2 linked regions of the Styela clava genome follow. The protein of the gene in region 2 interacts with the protein of the main gene of each other region in a biochemical or structural test. Links are inferred from orthologs where the notes say so. Each region holds a gene or a part of one and is shown on either strand. Other genes may lie near its edges.

Region 1 (7,215 bases), on a different chromosome or scaffold from region 2:
ATTGTTTTCTCAAGAGAATTTGCCTAAAATTAGCCCCAGTATAATTACTTTTTTCCCTATTTTTCTCTTTTCCATTAAAAAGATTCAACAAAAAATATATTCAAAGGTTTATTTCAAGGCATTATTTTTTGTATTTTCCCACCTAACTATAATTATTCAGCTTTACATTCTACCTATTCTAACATAAAGGGGTTCCATAAAGTCTATTAACCAAGTTTGATTTTGTTATGAAGTCAATTCTCAATATAACTTAACTAGGTTTGATGTTTTTAATCAGTAATTGTTCAAGTATTTTTACTCCATTAATACATCTGTGAGGGCCAAAACAATATGTGGAATGTGGTATCTATAAACTCCCTTTGCAATTTAAAAAAAATTAAGGCGGCATGGACACTATTTACATAAATCTTACCAAATAATATGAAGCATAAATGAATGAAAAAAATATATAAGCCTCACACTTTTATTCATGATTGGTTCCACAATGTCTAAAACTTCAAAGCAGATATTTTCTCCTTCCTTATCACAATCTAACCATAGCACAATCGCATCTACGCCTCGTGCTTCTTTTTCCAGAAACCTAAATTAGTTACGATATTTAAAATTAAAGATTTAATGGGACACTTTAGAAAGAATGAACTTGTGATTTTAGACATAAGATTTTTATTACCTATTAATAATTATAATATCTCTTAGATGATTCATATATACCAGGGGATAATTTTGAGGGTTGAGTCGAAGTTCCATTACATTGTTAAACGCCAGTTCAATGGCATGGAGGAAGGATTGGCAGTTCTCTGGCGTAACCACAACTGATAGCATAATTCCATGTGACAATTGTTTTTCTTAAGATGTTAATATGTTCCCCCCCTCCGATGCTGCATTTTTTCAAAGCAAAATAGACCTACTTTATATAATGCTCGACAGCAAAGATCACTGCAGAACAGAATTATATAATTCTAAATTATTCAAATAAGGACATACCATACTTACAAAATCCTATTTTAAAAGTACGATCAATAATTTAATCACTATCAGTAACAATAAGCATCACAAGTTATAAATAGATCGGAAGTGTGCAACATTTTTTGTCGGTGAGCCATAAGACCAAGACATCTAGTTTGGACACACAAATGAAAATAGTTTTTCCATGCACACAACAAATTGAAAAATTATCCCAATGCAAAATTTAACACGGTGACGAGAGTAAAAAAAATTATGTATTTTTACCCATTTCCAATAAGCATGAACTGTCGAATTGGGATTTTATGTTTTATGGAATGAAATTGGAGTGACAAGGGGCGCACTAAATGGCTTGGTGGGTCGGGTTGTGGATCGCGGCCCGCCTGTTGCACACCCTGTTATAGATCATACAGCTGGTTGGTCAGCCAAATAATGAGAATAACAGAGATTGGTTAAAAATTGAATAATATCATCATTCTTGTATGAAGCCTTGTCTAGAGCAAAATCTGTCGTGACTCGTCAAACATGAGACACTTCCATTATTAACCAGAATAGAATTCTCAAAGCAAACTATGGCGAGTCCGTTGCGATAAAATTTTCCCATTTATTATTTATAAACTATTTTAGTATATTAAAATTCCATTTTTGGCTAAAATGATTCATAAAATTATTCATACTTGATAATATTTAATTTGGGATTTGCTTCTTTTTTCATAGTTGGAGCAGAAAATAATTCCCCAGGATCAACTTTTTCCCAGTTATTATATTTTCCTTCAAAATCCAATGACATGACATGGCCACACACAGACGTGACTTTGAAGCTGACTCTTTCGCCATAAAATTTATCTGAAAAAATTTAATACAGTCAATGCCTTTACATTAATCCATAAACTACTTAGTTGAAATAACTGGCAGTTAGATATCCAAGATGATATAATAGTAGAATTGATTCAAATTTTATTATATTTGATATTTTAAATAACAGGTATGAGTTTTGTTCAGAGTAAAATTTTGATTATAAAAAATACTAAAACAGTTGTTTATTTCGAAATCAAGTATTTTTATTTAAATGATAATTCGACAAAGGGCCTTCCGGTAGGCACGTGTCTGTAAATAACCTTTATTAATGAACTATTCAAAGCTGAAAAGCTAAAAAGTTTTTCAACTATATGTGCAGTGAGAATTTTTTGCAAAAATGACCCAAAATAGGGCCTTCCGGAAGGCCCTTTTTTAGTCGAATTATCATTGAAACTCATTGAATATACATAGACTCATCCAGAAAATCGAATCTAATCTACAAAACGTCGATAAAAAAAAATTATTTTAGATTGTATTCAGAAGATAGAATTAAAAGATTTTAGCCATCACTCGTTGTGGGCATAGTAGATAATATGTATGAAACTCAACTAAGTCAATTAAAAAAAAACGGTAGGATTCATCAGACCAACTCAATTACTCATTGTGTCTAAAAGGCTAAAGGGCAAAGCATTGTTCAGAGCGATGAAGATATGGTTTATAAAAAGAAAACAATTGCCATAGTGTCAGTACATTCATTGGAAGAAAACTACATAAGTCTTATTTAAAGGATATATTATTTAATAAGAATACAAAATTAAATGCTACAGTACCTATTTTGACTCATTTACAGTTCATCAAGATTAAAACCATGTCACAATTTCAATTTGTTAGAAACTAGATGAGTAATAAAGCAAAATTACGTCATACCCTCATATTCACGTACAGGGCATCAATGTTTATTTCAAAATTCCAGTATTTTAAAATTCAAACTCATATAGGCCTATAAACTTCTAAAGAATATGGTCTCATTTGAAGTTGATTCAATATTCCCCATTTGAAATTAGTACTTTATAATGTTTTCAGAATTCTTTTTAAAAAATAGTAAAAGTCACCTAATTACTAACTGTGTCTAAAAGACTGTTGAGCAGAGAATTGGGCGGCGATGAGGATTATAAAAAAAAAAATTGACATCATGTTAAAAAAGGTATAAGGAAAATATATGAACCCAATTTAGAGAAGACATTATTTAACAAGAAAATAAAAATAAGTACTATAGTAATTATGTCGACTCGTTACCAGTTCATACAAGATTAAAACCATGTCATAATTTCAATTTGTTAGAAACTAAATGAGTAATAGATCAAAAAATATGTCATACCATCATATTCATGCACAGGGCAAGATCCACTGATGCTTTTCCTCGTATTACATGAACCATGAGATAAAATCTTCGCTATGGATTGAGCCAGAGACGGCTTTTCCGCAACCATTAACACTGTCCTCATACTTAATTCATGGGAAACTATGGATTAGAGATATGTAATCCTGGAGGTGGAAGTGACAAACTGTCTATACTTTTCTAGTCTTAAATATAAATTTATTCATTAGTACAGTAAATATTTCAAATGAATATAATACATACATATCAGATGAAAACGATTAAAACCATAGCAGTAAATTGAACAAAAGAATGAAAATAACGCAGTCGCTATATGGGGAAAACAATCTTAATAATAATAATAACATTGAAAACATAAACTTTGGTGTTTAAAAACAACAGATGGGGCGTGACATTGCAGAAGCAGACGAGTAACATATTATACTACAAGAAACAAACATTGGGCGGGCGTAAAGATCGAATAATAAATATTTATGAGTAGACAGCTGTTACAAGTCCCTATAGAAGTATGAACTTCAAGAGTATTGTAGTTATTAATGCTTTAACAAACAGATAACAAGACAAGACTGTGCTTGCAAAGGGTGTAACTTTATAGTATTAAATCAATACAATTGAGAAATCTTCACTGTAAAGTTTGGCAGATTTCAATAATCGACAAGATGGCCAAGTAGATATTTCATCGATTAATTCTCACTGCGGTATATTATCAGGTTTACTATATTTAGGATTCATTGTCATGACAATTGCTGAAATAATCATTTTATTACATAGGTAGAATATTACAAAATAAAATCATTGGATAAATTGAAAATAAAAAAAGACCTAAAAAAAAGTGTTCCAAAATTTGCTGTTTTGGTATAAAACATATTAACCAATTTTCTTTTTATTCAAAACATGCCACACATTCTTGGGAAAAAGAATTCTTGTTTAAGGTGTTTATATCAAGGAACGTGGACATAATGACATACCAGAAAAAAATTCAGGATTATTATAAAGTTTTCAACAATTCACATTCAATATCCATCTCAGAAAATATATAAGTTAAACAACACATTAGATACTTAGATCAAAAAATAATCGATACATACTGTACATATCATAAAAGAACACAAATATTAATAATAGGTCTTACGAAGTAAACAGCCTACACAAAATGATAAGAAATCGATGAACCTAATTGAATGGTGGTGTTGGATGAAGAGAGTGTCCTTGAGTTTACTAGAAACATAACTTGGTGTAATAAATAATTACGGAGAGCTTATAACCTTAGAGCGGTATGAAAACATTTATTGAACATTGGGTGGCCACCAATGTGAAGATAATTCTACTCTTAGCAATAAGACAAATTTGTAAAATAAGATAAATGATGATAGTGTCCTAAAATTTTCTCTATCCCAGCCAAATCATGGTATATCTAGATTTTATTTAATTTAATCTTTTCATGAATTCGCTGCATGGCATGTCACTAAAAAGCTTTCACTAAATTATCGAAAATTGTTAACCACTACCTCATAAATTTAAAAAATTCTATATAGTTTATACTCTTAATATAATTCACAAATTTACAAGTTTAAGATAGTCATTTCCAATGTTTTAAAAATCCAAAATGTACCAAAGATCTCCGTGCTTATTCAACTATGATTTTAATTCAAATCATTACAACTAATTTTATTCCAAATATCGGCATGAAAAAGTTGAGTAATCAAAATGTCGAAAATGAACAACCAATCACCAGTGTAAACGTGAAAGTCACCTTATTCTCAAAATGAAAGATGGTCTGAAGATGAAAAATGTCACAGAATGTCATTATCATTCCAATAGTTGCAGACTTACTTAACATAGCAACAAAAGTTTCAACATGAAAAATCAATTTTCAATCTTTGATAAAAATACTTTGACTGTTTTGACGATGAACCCGAATCGATTGGAAAAGTCAAAAAATGTCATTTCGTAAATAAATCATTTTACAAACAAATGAATAGTCTGTAGAGTGTCGAGTATAATGCATTGACCTTAATAAAATATTCATGAAGGAATTCCAATCAGAATCAAACATATGAATTAAAATATTATAATGCAACATTTGATTGAACTGGATATCAAGATGCAGTTGGGTTGTCAAGGCTTCGAAGAAAAATTCAATCAAACTCATATTGTATATAACAAATTAACGTTGGGAATTTTCATATTCAAAAATACTATAATTTTGAATATTAATGACGCCAATTAATGATATCTGACTTATAATATCAAAATATGTTTTATTGATTGGCAATATAGAAAACTATTTGAGATTATTTCTTGTCTTTTATCGTGAGAATTTTGTCTCTATGGAATAATAAGGGTTGGATTCATACTCAAGCATAATGTTGCGCTCTACTAATTTTAGATTTCAAACTACCACCCATAACATTTGTCATTCTCAAGAACATATAAGAAGAGGCTGAACCCATAAATGTACTATAGGTTATGATTTGGGATATTAGAAAATTTTCATCAACAACAATAACCAAACCAGGTCATCGTCAATGTAAGCATGCAATATTGCACAACCCCATAATACTCACATTAATGCACTGTTAAACGTGCATAATGGAAATCGTTTTTCAATATTACTGATTTCATGAAAAAAATCGCTACAGAACAACTATAATTAAAAAGAAATGAATAAAGATTATCAATTACTGTTCAAAGAGGTGTAACATTTTCTTAACTTTAGTCAGAATTTTACATTTGACAGACAAAAGCTAAAATAAATAAGCAGAATTTTGCTATGAATTACCGAACAGATAAAAAAATTTCAATCATCTTTGTTTAAAATCTTCCAAGTCAAACGTAGAATCTTTGCCTAATAATATCAGTTTGAAAAATATCAGAAACACTCAAGTGCTGCTTCAGAAATACAATGCTGATTAGTTTTATAATTATTCACAAGTAGATTTAGCAAGCTCCTCCATTTATATTTATTCTTCTGAGGAGCTGACTGGGGAGTCCCGGATCATATGATACTATTTAAACAATCTGAATTGACCTATCAATAATAATGAAGAATATATACTCAGTTGTTGAGTATTTTTGCAGCCCGTTGGTTAGCGGAATCAATTCTGCCCTTGTTTGCATCAGCTTTTGCGTTGATTCTATCAATTTGGTTGTTTTGTGATGAGATTTCATTGCCCATATCTAAAGCCATGTGCTTCAGATTACCGATAACTCCAGCAACTTGTGTCAAATTCTCTTCCATCTCATCTTCTCGTGCATCGTTTGTTACCCTCTTGACGTATCCACCACCAACTTGTGCCATCGTTCTCTCATCCTGAATCCTGGCCCCGGGTTGGTCGCTGACAACTTTATCTTGATTTTTACTGAATGCTTTTTTATATTCGTCACCTTTTTCAAAATTTTTAGCTCTATTCCATGGGCAAACACATAATCCACAACACTTTTCCAATCCTTCTAAATTTTTTTCCGCTTGTTTCATGTCTTGATTAATTTGATCCATTCCTTCATCGATCCTATCGAGTTGTTCTCCTTGTTCATCAAGCATAACTAAGGTTCTGATTCCAGCATCTTGTGTTTCTTCCATCAGACCAACCATACGACGAGTACTTTCCAGAGACTCATCAGTAATTTGGTTCGCCCTCATCTGCATGTTGGCGAGCTCGCCTCTCATGTCATCATCTGCGGCCATAGTTTATTTTGTTGATGACTACACAATTAAATATGTAAATTAGAATACAATCTGCTATTTGGTATGAAAGTTGAAGTTTTAAAAATACATTGAGAAATATTTTATAGGATAACAATGCAACAATGACACTCCATATATCCTAAATTAGATACACATGTTGTCTCACTCATCCCATATACAACTGTCGCGCTCTGATTGTGCATGAATTGCGCAAAATCAAATAACAAACGATTGAAACACCTGAATATATTCTGCTATTAGTGTATACCTGCTGATACAGAACCAGGAGAGAAAAAAAATAATTCTAAGTAGAAATGTTTGAAACGTATAGAATTTAAAAATAAATGGGGTGGCTAAAAGAAGTAAG
Region 2 (7,542 bases):
GTATTACAGTATAACAAAACAGACATGTGCTTTATGTTATCAGCTACTGTTTCTGCTTTTTGGTGGAACATACAGTTGCAGTGGAGGTTTACCAGGTCGAGAATTCTGCCTTGGTCTCTGTGGGTTCCCCATATAAGGTAAATTCTGCCCATTGTCTCTGTTGTGTGAGAATTGAGTTGCTGAAAAGGGGAAATTGATAATGTTAAAAATGAGCCACTAAAAAGGGCAAATTGATAATGAAAGGATTGCTAAGGTTTCTCGCTCAAACTAGTGGCCGTTAGGAAATATTCTGCACTCGCAATAGAAGACTTGATAATACACAAAAAATGTAAACCATTTTAATGCGATTGCTGCCTATTAGAAAAATTTTATATAGAAGAACGAGCTGGAACCTCTTTTGTTTTAAACTCAAACATTGAGAGTTCCGAAGCTAGTAATCCTATCTCAATAGCCGTTTGGCTGAAAATTTTGTTATTTTTTTCTCCATAATAGCAATCTATCTAGCCATCATGCTATACACAAACTGTTGTCATTCTAATAAAATATTTATATTTAAGAAAAATCACTCGTACAGTCAAACTAAATATTTTAGTTTAATAACTTTAACATCAATTTCATATACTTGTGTATGCCAAAATTGCAGTAAAAATGATAATGGCACCTGGCGTATAGGTAGCTTACCCCCTTAGTATGTGTACCAGGATAGGGTTAAGCCATAATTTTATTCCGACTTTCCTTATTTTGGTTCTATTAGGAGTTCAGGACTGTCTGTGTTAGCCAAGTGAATATACACCCTCCTGACCATAGGTTTCAATCCCTTTACACTACTTGATGTAAAGTAGGCAAGCAAAATAGTTACGTACATATACATTTCTGAAGCGCCTGTGTATATTATGAATATTAAATAAACAAAGGAATAAATTTTCACTCACCTCCATGAAATGATGTTTTATCATCATCGAAAGGCTTCATATCGAATAATTGTACTTCTTCATAATTTCCAAAACCTAGGAATTGAACAACAGCGGTTGGAGCAGTTGGATGTAAATCAGTGATGATTGCTCTATAATAGCACCGATCTTCCCAATACCTTGCTAAACAGTGGCTTCCAACATAGAACTTGGGAAGAGAAACATGAACCTGGGGGCCATTTGAATGAGACTTCACAATAACGTCATGTGAGGGAGTCGATTGATTAATGTTGATATGAATTGAAGTATCAGTATTAGGCGCTGCCGTACCGAAAGTGGTTGGGCCCCTTTGAGATGGTGGAGGATTTATTGATAAATCTCTAAAGTTTTGGTTTATGTTAAATTCGCTGGCTTCTCCAGAAAGTTTGGAATTGCTCTCCCCTTTCATTGTATTTTGTGGAAAGTGGGGTATAGCTGTATGCTTGATATTCTCATTTTTAACAAAACTGTTGCCTTTTTTAAAACGAGGCGGAATGTCTGATGCATGCCTTTCGTTAACTCTGTGTTGATTCTGATGTCCTGAGGTACGATTTTTATCAGATTCTCGAGATTGTGTATTTCCTTCATTTCTAGTATCTTGAGATCGTCTGGGATTTTCAGAAGCACGTGTAGAGCTGTATCGTTTTCCACTCTCCATTCGTTCATTTCGACTATCTTTTTCAGTCATTTGTGAATCAATTTTCGGGGTAATATCGCTCTCTCGTCCAATCTTTCCACTTCTTCCCTTTCCATATGGTTCATCAGTTTTCGAATCATTCAATCTTTTATCATAAGTTTTAAATTTTTGAGGATTATCTGATTGACTCTCCCATTTATTATACCCTCTGCTTTTATATGAATCATTTTCTCTTCTATCTTCCCTCCTCTCCATTCGACCACCGCCTCTGCCACGCCCCCGCTCATTGAACCTTCGGTTTCCGCCACGTGATCTTGAATTATAGCCTCTGTTTGACTCTTGGTACCAATTTTTGTTATCATTACGTTGGTTTGAGGCTTCATTTTGATAGGATTTTTTGTAATAATCGTTTCCATTTTGTTTCTTACTCGGTTCTGGAACAGATATTTTAGATTCTACAAAATCAAACAATGTTGCTGAATTGGAGGGTTGTGACATTGGATGCTCATTTTCCTCTTCTCCATGAAATGAGCGGCCACTTCCTCTTCCACGGTTACCCCTACGAAATCCTCTGTTATCACCCCGTCCTCTATGTCCTCTTTGTCGTTCTTTCTGAGAATCTTCTGCATTAGCATTTACGACTAACATCTCCATAGTGCTTTCAAAGTCGTTATCGCATTTTTGCATGAAGAAAACGACATCATCTCTCTTGAATCCCATTTCTACAAATTCGTTCACTGTTTTCAAGTGTACGTTTTCACCACTCTGAGTTGACAACTCTCGATAAATTCTAGCGCTTTTATTTTGTGAATTGGTTTTCTCTTCATTTGATGAAGGTTGCTTGCTAAACTTCGGTCTGCTATCTTTATGAACTGGATCAGATGAGGATTTGTTATCTTCATAACTCGGGGCCGATGTCGGCCTTTTGCCGAAGTTTGCTCTTACATCAGATGAAAAAGTTTTCGAAACCTGAACAGATGCTTTGGCTACTTCTGCAATGGCAGCTTTACGTTGTTCATTGAATTCATCATCTTCAGCTTCGTCATGCTTTGCATCTCCTTTTAAAGATTTATTACTTTTGTTATATTTCTGAATATTTTTTCCAAACGCTACAAAAGGAGGTGGTGCCCCCTCTGCAACAATTCCCGCCCTACTGAGCCCTGCAGCATCGAGGGCTATTTTCCATCTTGTATAGAGCTTTTCAACTCTGCCACCTAAAATTTTTACACTGCCAGGCTCTAATTGTAATTGGCCATGAGTAACGGCGATACTTCCAATGAGTCTGATTTTGGTTCCTGGTGCAGTCTTGAGAGAAATTTGTTCAATATGTTCATATTCTATACCTGTGATTGTGGAGACTCCGTCGGTTAAAGTTACCCTCAGCATACGAGGAGCAATATTAGAATATTCATTTTCTTTAGGAGCAGTGATATTTCTGATTTTGCTAACCTGCAATACTACTGGTCCAACTAATAAATTGTCTGTACAAGAAGAAATCTTTTCTTGTATATATTTGTATCCGATATTAGATAGATCAGTATCGAGTGCCAATTTTTTTATTTTCCCGTATGTCAGTTCTTCTTTATCTGATAAATTTTTCTGAAGGTCATTCAAGGCAGATTCCTTCAAATGCCAACCTTCGTCTTCAAGAATCTTTCCAATACTTTCCATTGAAAAAGATGAGACACAATCTTCAAGTTGACTAAAGCTAAAAAGTCTGAAAAAGGAATGTATCATTGAGTTTTTTGACATACAGGTATCTGGACATATACACCACCACCGCAATCTGGCAATGAGTATTAGAGTACATCACATTTATACCATGTTGACGTTTTTAAAATTTTACTATACTTCCATAATCTAATCATTTAATATAAAATTGCAAAAGGTTTTCCTGAAGTTGTATTGATCAGTTTACTTGTTTATACAATACTGTAAACCAGTGATTCCCAAACTTTTTTATTTGTTGTCGTTTTGTTTTTGACTGCGTAAAGCGATTAAAATTATGTATGAAATACAACACGTCCGTCCCATATTTTTTCTTTTTGTTTGGAGATTATTAGATTAAATACAGAAATATGATCACATTGCAATACTAAAATTGTTCACTTCCATATGAATGCGAGAGGGATAAAAACGTATACTGGTATATGTCATAATGTGTATATTTTAGAAACTCGCGAGAATTACCACAGCTTATATATTTTGCAACGAATGGAAATCTGAAAGTGTAATAACACCGCCAAGACATCGCAGGGCAATCAATATCATACATGTCTGCATGTCAAAATCTCAATCACCCGCCAACCTTCAGACCTTATTTTGTATATTCGGTCACTAAAGGTGACTGGTGGCTGAATAACAATAAGCATATCCATGTAAGATATTCATCCCAGACCAGCAGAAATCTAGTATGGCAGTACTGCAGTATGTGGACCAGCCGTTGGTACCACTGGTTCGTTCAACTTGAAAGGTGGTCAATTACTTATTTGGCTGTACTGCTGTAACATGTCAAAAAAGCTATAAACAGCCTAAACAGGGAAGTCTTATTGCAGTATTGACGATCATAACAGTCCGACAGTACGGTATGTCACGTGCCCTAATTCCCTAAACGTTGCTGATAGGTCAGTAGGGTTTTTCCAATTAATTCATAATTAATCCCAATCTTAACGGTTCACTTTATGGCACAGCAATTATGACCACTGTGAAGCTAGTAGCAATTTGACCTTTGTGTGCGGCGAAGCGGAAAGGTTAATATTTACGGCAGAAATAGAGGCGTGTCAGAATCTACACCCGAAAAAATGAAGATAAACAAAATTAGCATACTATTATGGGAAATATGTTTATAATTTAGAAAAAATAACAAGTATATAACCAAAAAATAAATAATAAAAGTTTTTCACTCAACTAGAACCTAAGCCTTTTTCATTTTAAATTCAAGGGTATTCTCATAGCGAATATGGCCTTGTTTATAAAAAATTACGTATATCGACAAAAGATAATTTAGTCAATTTTCAAAGCCCAGCTGCACACCCTTCCCCACAAGAGGCATTCGATTTGATTATTTCCAATTAAAGAAGATTACCAGAAGTTTTTTACACAACTAGAACCTAAGCCTTTTTTATTTTAGAATCTGGGGTATTCTCATAGCGAAAATGGCCTTATTTGGAAAAATTAGGTATAGCGAAAAAAGCTAATGTAGTCCATTTTCAAAGCCTAGCAGCACACTCTTCCGCACAAGAGGCATTCGATTTGATTATTTCACGTTAAAGAGGTTTATCTGAAGTTTTTCACACAACTAGAACCTAAGCCTTTTTTATTTTAGAATCTACGTTATTCTTATGGCGAAAATGGCCTTATTTTGAAAAATTACGTATAGCGAAAAAAGCTAATTTAGTCAATTTTCAAAGCCTAGCAGCACACCCTTCCGCACAAGAGGCATTCGATTTGATTATTTCATGTTAAAGAGGTTTACCTGAAGTTTGCCACACAACTAGAACCTAAGCCTTTTTTATTTTAGAATCTGGGGTATTCTCATAGCGAAAATGGCCTTATTTGGAAAAATTACATATAGCGAAATGAGCTTATTTAGTCAATTTTCAAAGCCTAGCAGCACACCCTTCCGCACAAGAGGCATTCGATTTGATTCTTTTATGTTAAAGAGGTTTATCTGAAGTTTTTTCTACAACTAGAACCTAAGCCTTTTTTAATTTATAATCTACGTTATTCTTATGGCGAAAATGGCCTTAATTGGAAAAATTACGTATAGCGAAAAAAGCTAATTTAGTCAATTTTCAAAGCCTAGCAGCACACCCTTCCGTACAAGAGGCATTCGATTTGATTATTTTATGTTAAAGAAGTTTACCTGAAGTTTGCCACACAACTAGAACCTAAGCCTTTTTTATTTTAGAATCTGGGGTATTCTCATAGCGAAAATGACCTTATTTGGAAAATTACGTATAGCGAAAAAAGCTAATTTAGTCAATTTTCAAAGCCTAGAAGCACACCCTTCCGCACAAGAGGCATTCGATTTGATTCTTTTATGTTGAAGAAGTTTACCTGAAGTTTTCCACACAACTAGAACCTAAGCCTTTTTTATTTTAGAATCTGGGGTATTCTCATAGCGAAAATGGCCTTTTTTGGAAAAATTACGTAGAGCGAAAAAAGCTAATTTAGTCAAATTTCAAAGCCTAGCAGCACACCCTTCAGCACAAGAGGCATTTGATTTGATTATTTTATGTTAAAGAGGTTTACCTGAAATTTTTTGCACAACTAGAACCTAAGCCTTTTTTAGTTTGAAATCTACGTTTTTCTCATGGCGAAAATGGCCTTAATTGGAAAAATTAGGTATAGCGTAAAAAGCTAATTTAGTCAATTTTCAAAGCCTAGCAGCACACCTTTCCGCACAAGAGGCATTTGATTTGATTATTTCATGTTAAAGAGGTTTACTTGAAGTTTTTTACACAACTAGAACCTAAGCCTTTTTTATTTTTGAATCTACGTTATTCTCATGGCGAAAATGGCCTTAATTGGAAAAATTACTTATAGCGAAAAAAGCTTATTTAGTCAATTTTAAAAGCCTAGCAGCACACCCTTCCGCACGAGAGGCATTCGATTTGATTATTTCCCATTAAAGAGGTTCACCTGAAGTTTTCCACACAACTAGAACCTAAGCCTTTTTTATTTTAGAATCTACGTTTTTCTCATGGCGAAAATGGCCCTAATTAGAAAAATTACGCATAGCGAAAAAAGCTAATTTAGTCAATTTTGAAAGCCTAGCAGCACACCCTTCCGCACAAGAGGCATTCGATTTGATTATTTCATGTTAAAGAGGTTTACCTGAAGTTTGCCACACAACTAGAACCTAAGCCTTTTTTATTTTAGAATCTGGGGTATTCTCATAGCGAAAATGGCCTTATTTGGAAAAATTACATATAGCGAAATAAGCTTATTTAGTCATTTTTAAAAGCCTAGCAGCACACCCTTCCGCACGAGAGGCATTCGTTTGATTATTTCCCATTAAAGAGGTTCACCTGAAGTTTTCCACACAACTAGAACCTAAGCCTTTTTTATTTTAGAATCTACGTTTTTCTCATGGCGAAAATGGCCTTATTTGGAAAAATTACATATAGCGAAATAAGCTAATTTAGTCAATTTTCAAAGCCCAGCTGCACACCCTTCCCCACAAGAGGCATTCGATTTTTTGATTATTTCCCATTAAAGAAGATTACCAGAAGTTTTTTACACAACTAGAACCTAAGCCTTTTTTATTTTAGAATCTGGGGTATTCTCATAGCGAAAATGGCCTTATTTGGAAAAATTAGGTATAGCGAAAAAAGCTAATGTAGTCCATTTTCAAAGCCTAGCAGCACACTCTTCCGCACAAGAGGCATTCGATTTGATTATTTCATGTTAAAGAGGTTTATCTGAAGTTTTTCACACAACTAGAACCTAAGCCTTTTTTATTTTAGAATCTACGTTATTCTTATGGCGAAAATGGCCTTATTTTGAAAAATTACGTATAGCGAAAAAAGCTAATTTAGTCAATTTTCAAAGCCTAGCAGCACACCCTTCCGCACAAGAGGCATTCGATTTGATTATTTCATGTTAAAGAGGTTTACCTGAAGTTTGCCACACAACTAGAACCTAAGCCTTTTTTATTTTAGAATCTGGGGTATTCTCATAGCGAAAATGGCCTTATTTGGAAAAATTACATATAGCGAAATGAGCTTATTTAGTCAATTTTCAAAGCCTAGCAGCACACCCTTCCGCACAAGAGGCATTCGATTTGATTCTTTTATGTTAAAGAGGTTTACCTGAAGTTTTTTCTACAACTAGAACCTAAGCCTTTTTTAATTTATAATCTACGTTATTCTTATGGCGAAAATGGCCTTAATTGGAAAAATTACGTATAGCGAAAAAAGCTAATTTAGTCAATTTTCAAAGCCTAGCAGC

The links. The genes of interacting proteins can lie anywhere in the genome.
Region 1: the proteins of tudor domain-containing protein 3-like (region 2) and DNA topoisomerase 3-beta-1-like form a complex in vitro, tested with the Homo sapiens proteins (2 studies listed by BioGRID and IntAct, with this or other methods). The link is inferred for Styela clava from reciprocal best matches to the Homo sapiens genes TDRD3 and TOP3B.

The regions. Positions count from the first base shown.
Region 1 is NC_135257.1:17,699,160-17,706,374, forward strand, and holds the start of DNA topoisomerase 3-beta-1-like, read right to left. Parts: upstream 3,293-7,215; 5' UTR 3,267-3,292; coding exon 3,140-3,266; intron 1,810-3,139; coding exon 1,641-1,809; intron 581-1,640; coding exon 460-580; intron 1-459. Other genes in the region: synaptosomal-associated protein 25-like, read right to left, coding at 6,219-6,848. UniProt on the Homo sapiens protein: Releases the supercoiling and torsional tension of DNA introduced during the DNA replication and transcription by transiently cleaving and rejoining one strand of the DNA duplex.
Region 2 is NC_135255.1:10,328,634-10,336,175, forward strand, and holds the start of tudor domain-containing protein 3-like, read right to left. Parts: upstream 3,349-7,542; 5' UTR 3,340-3,348; coding exon 933-3,339; intron 180-932; coding exon 40-179; 3' UTR 1-39. UniProt on the Homo sapiens protein: Scaffolding protein that specifically recognizes and binds dimethylarginine-containing proteins. Plays a role in the regulation of translation of target mRNAs by binding Arg/Gly-rich motifs (GAR) in dimethylarginine-containing proteins.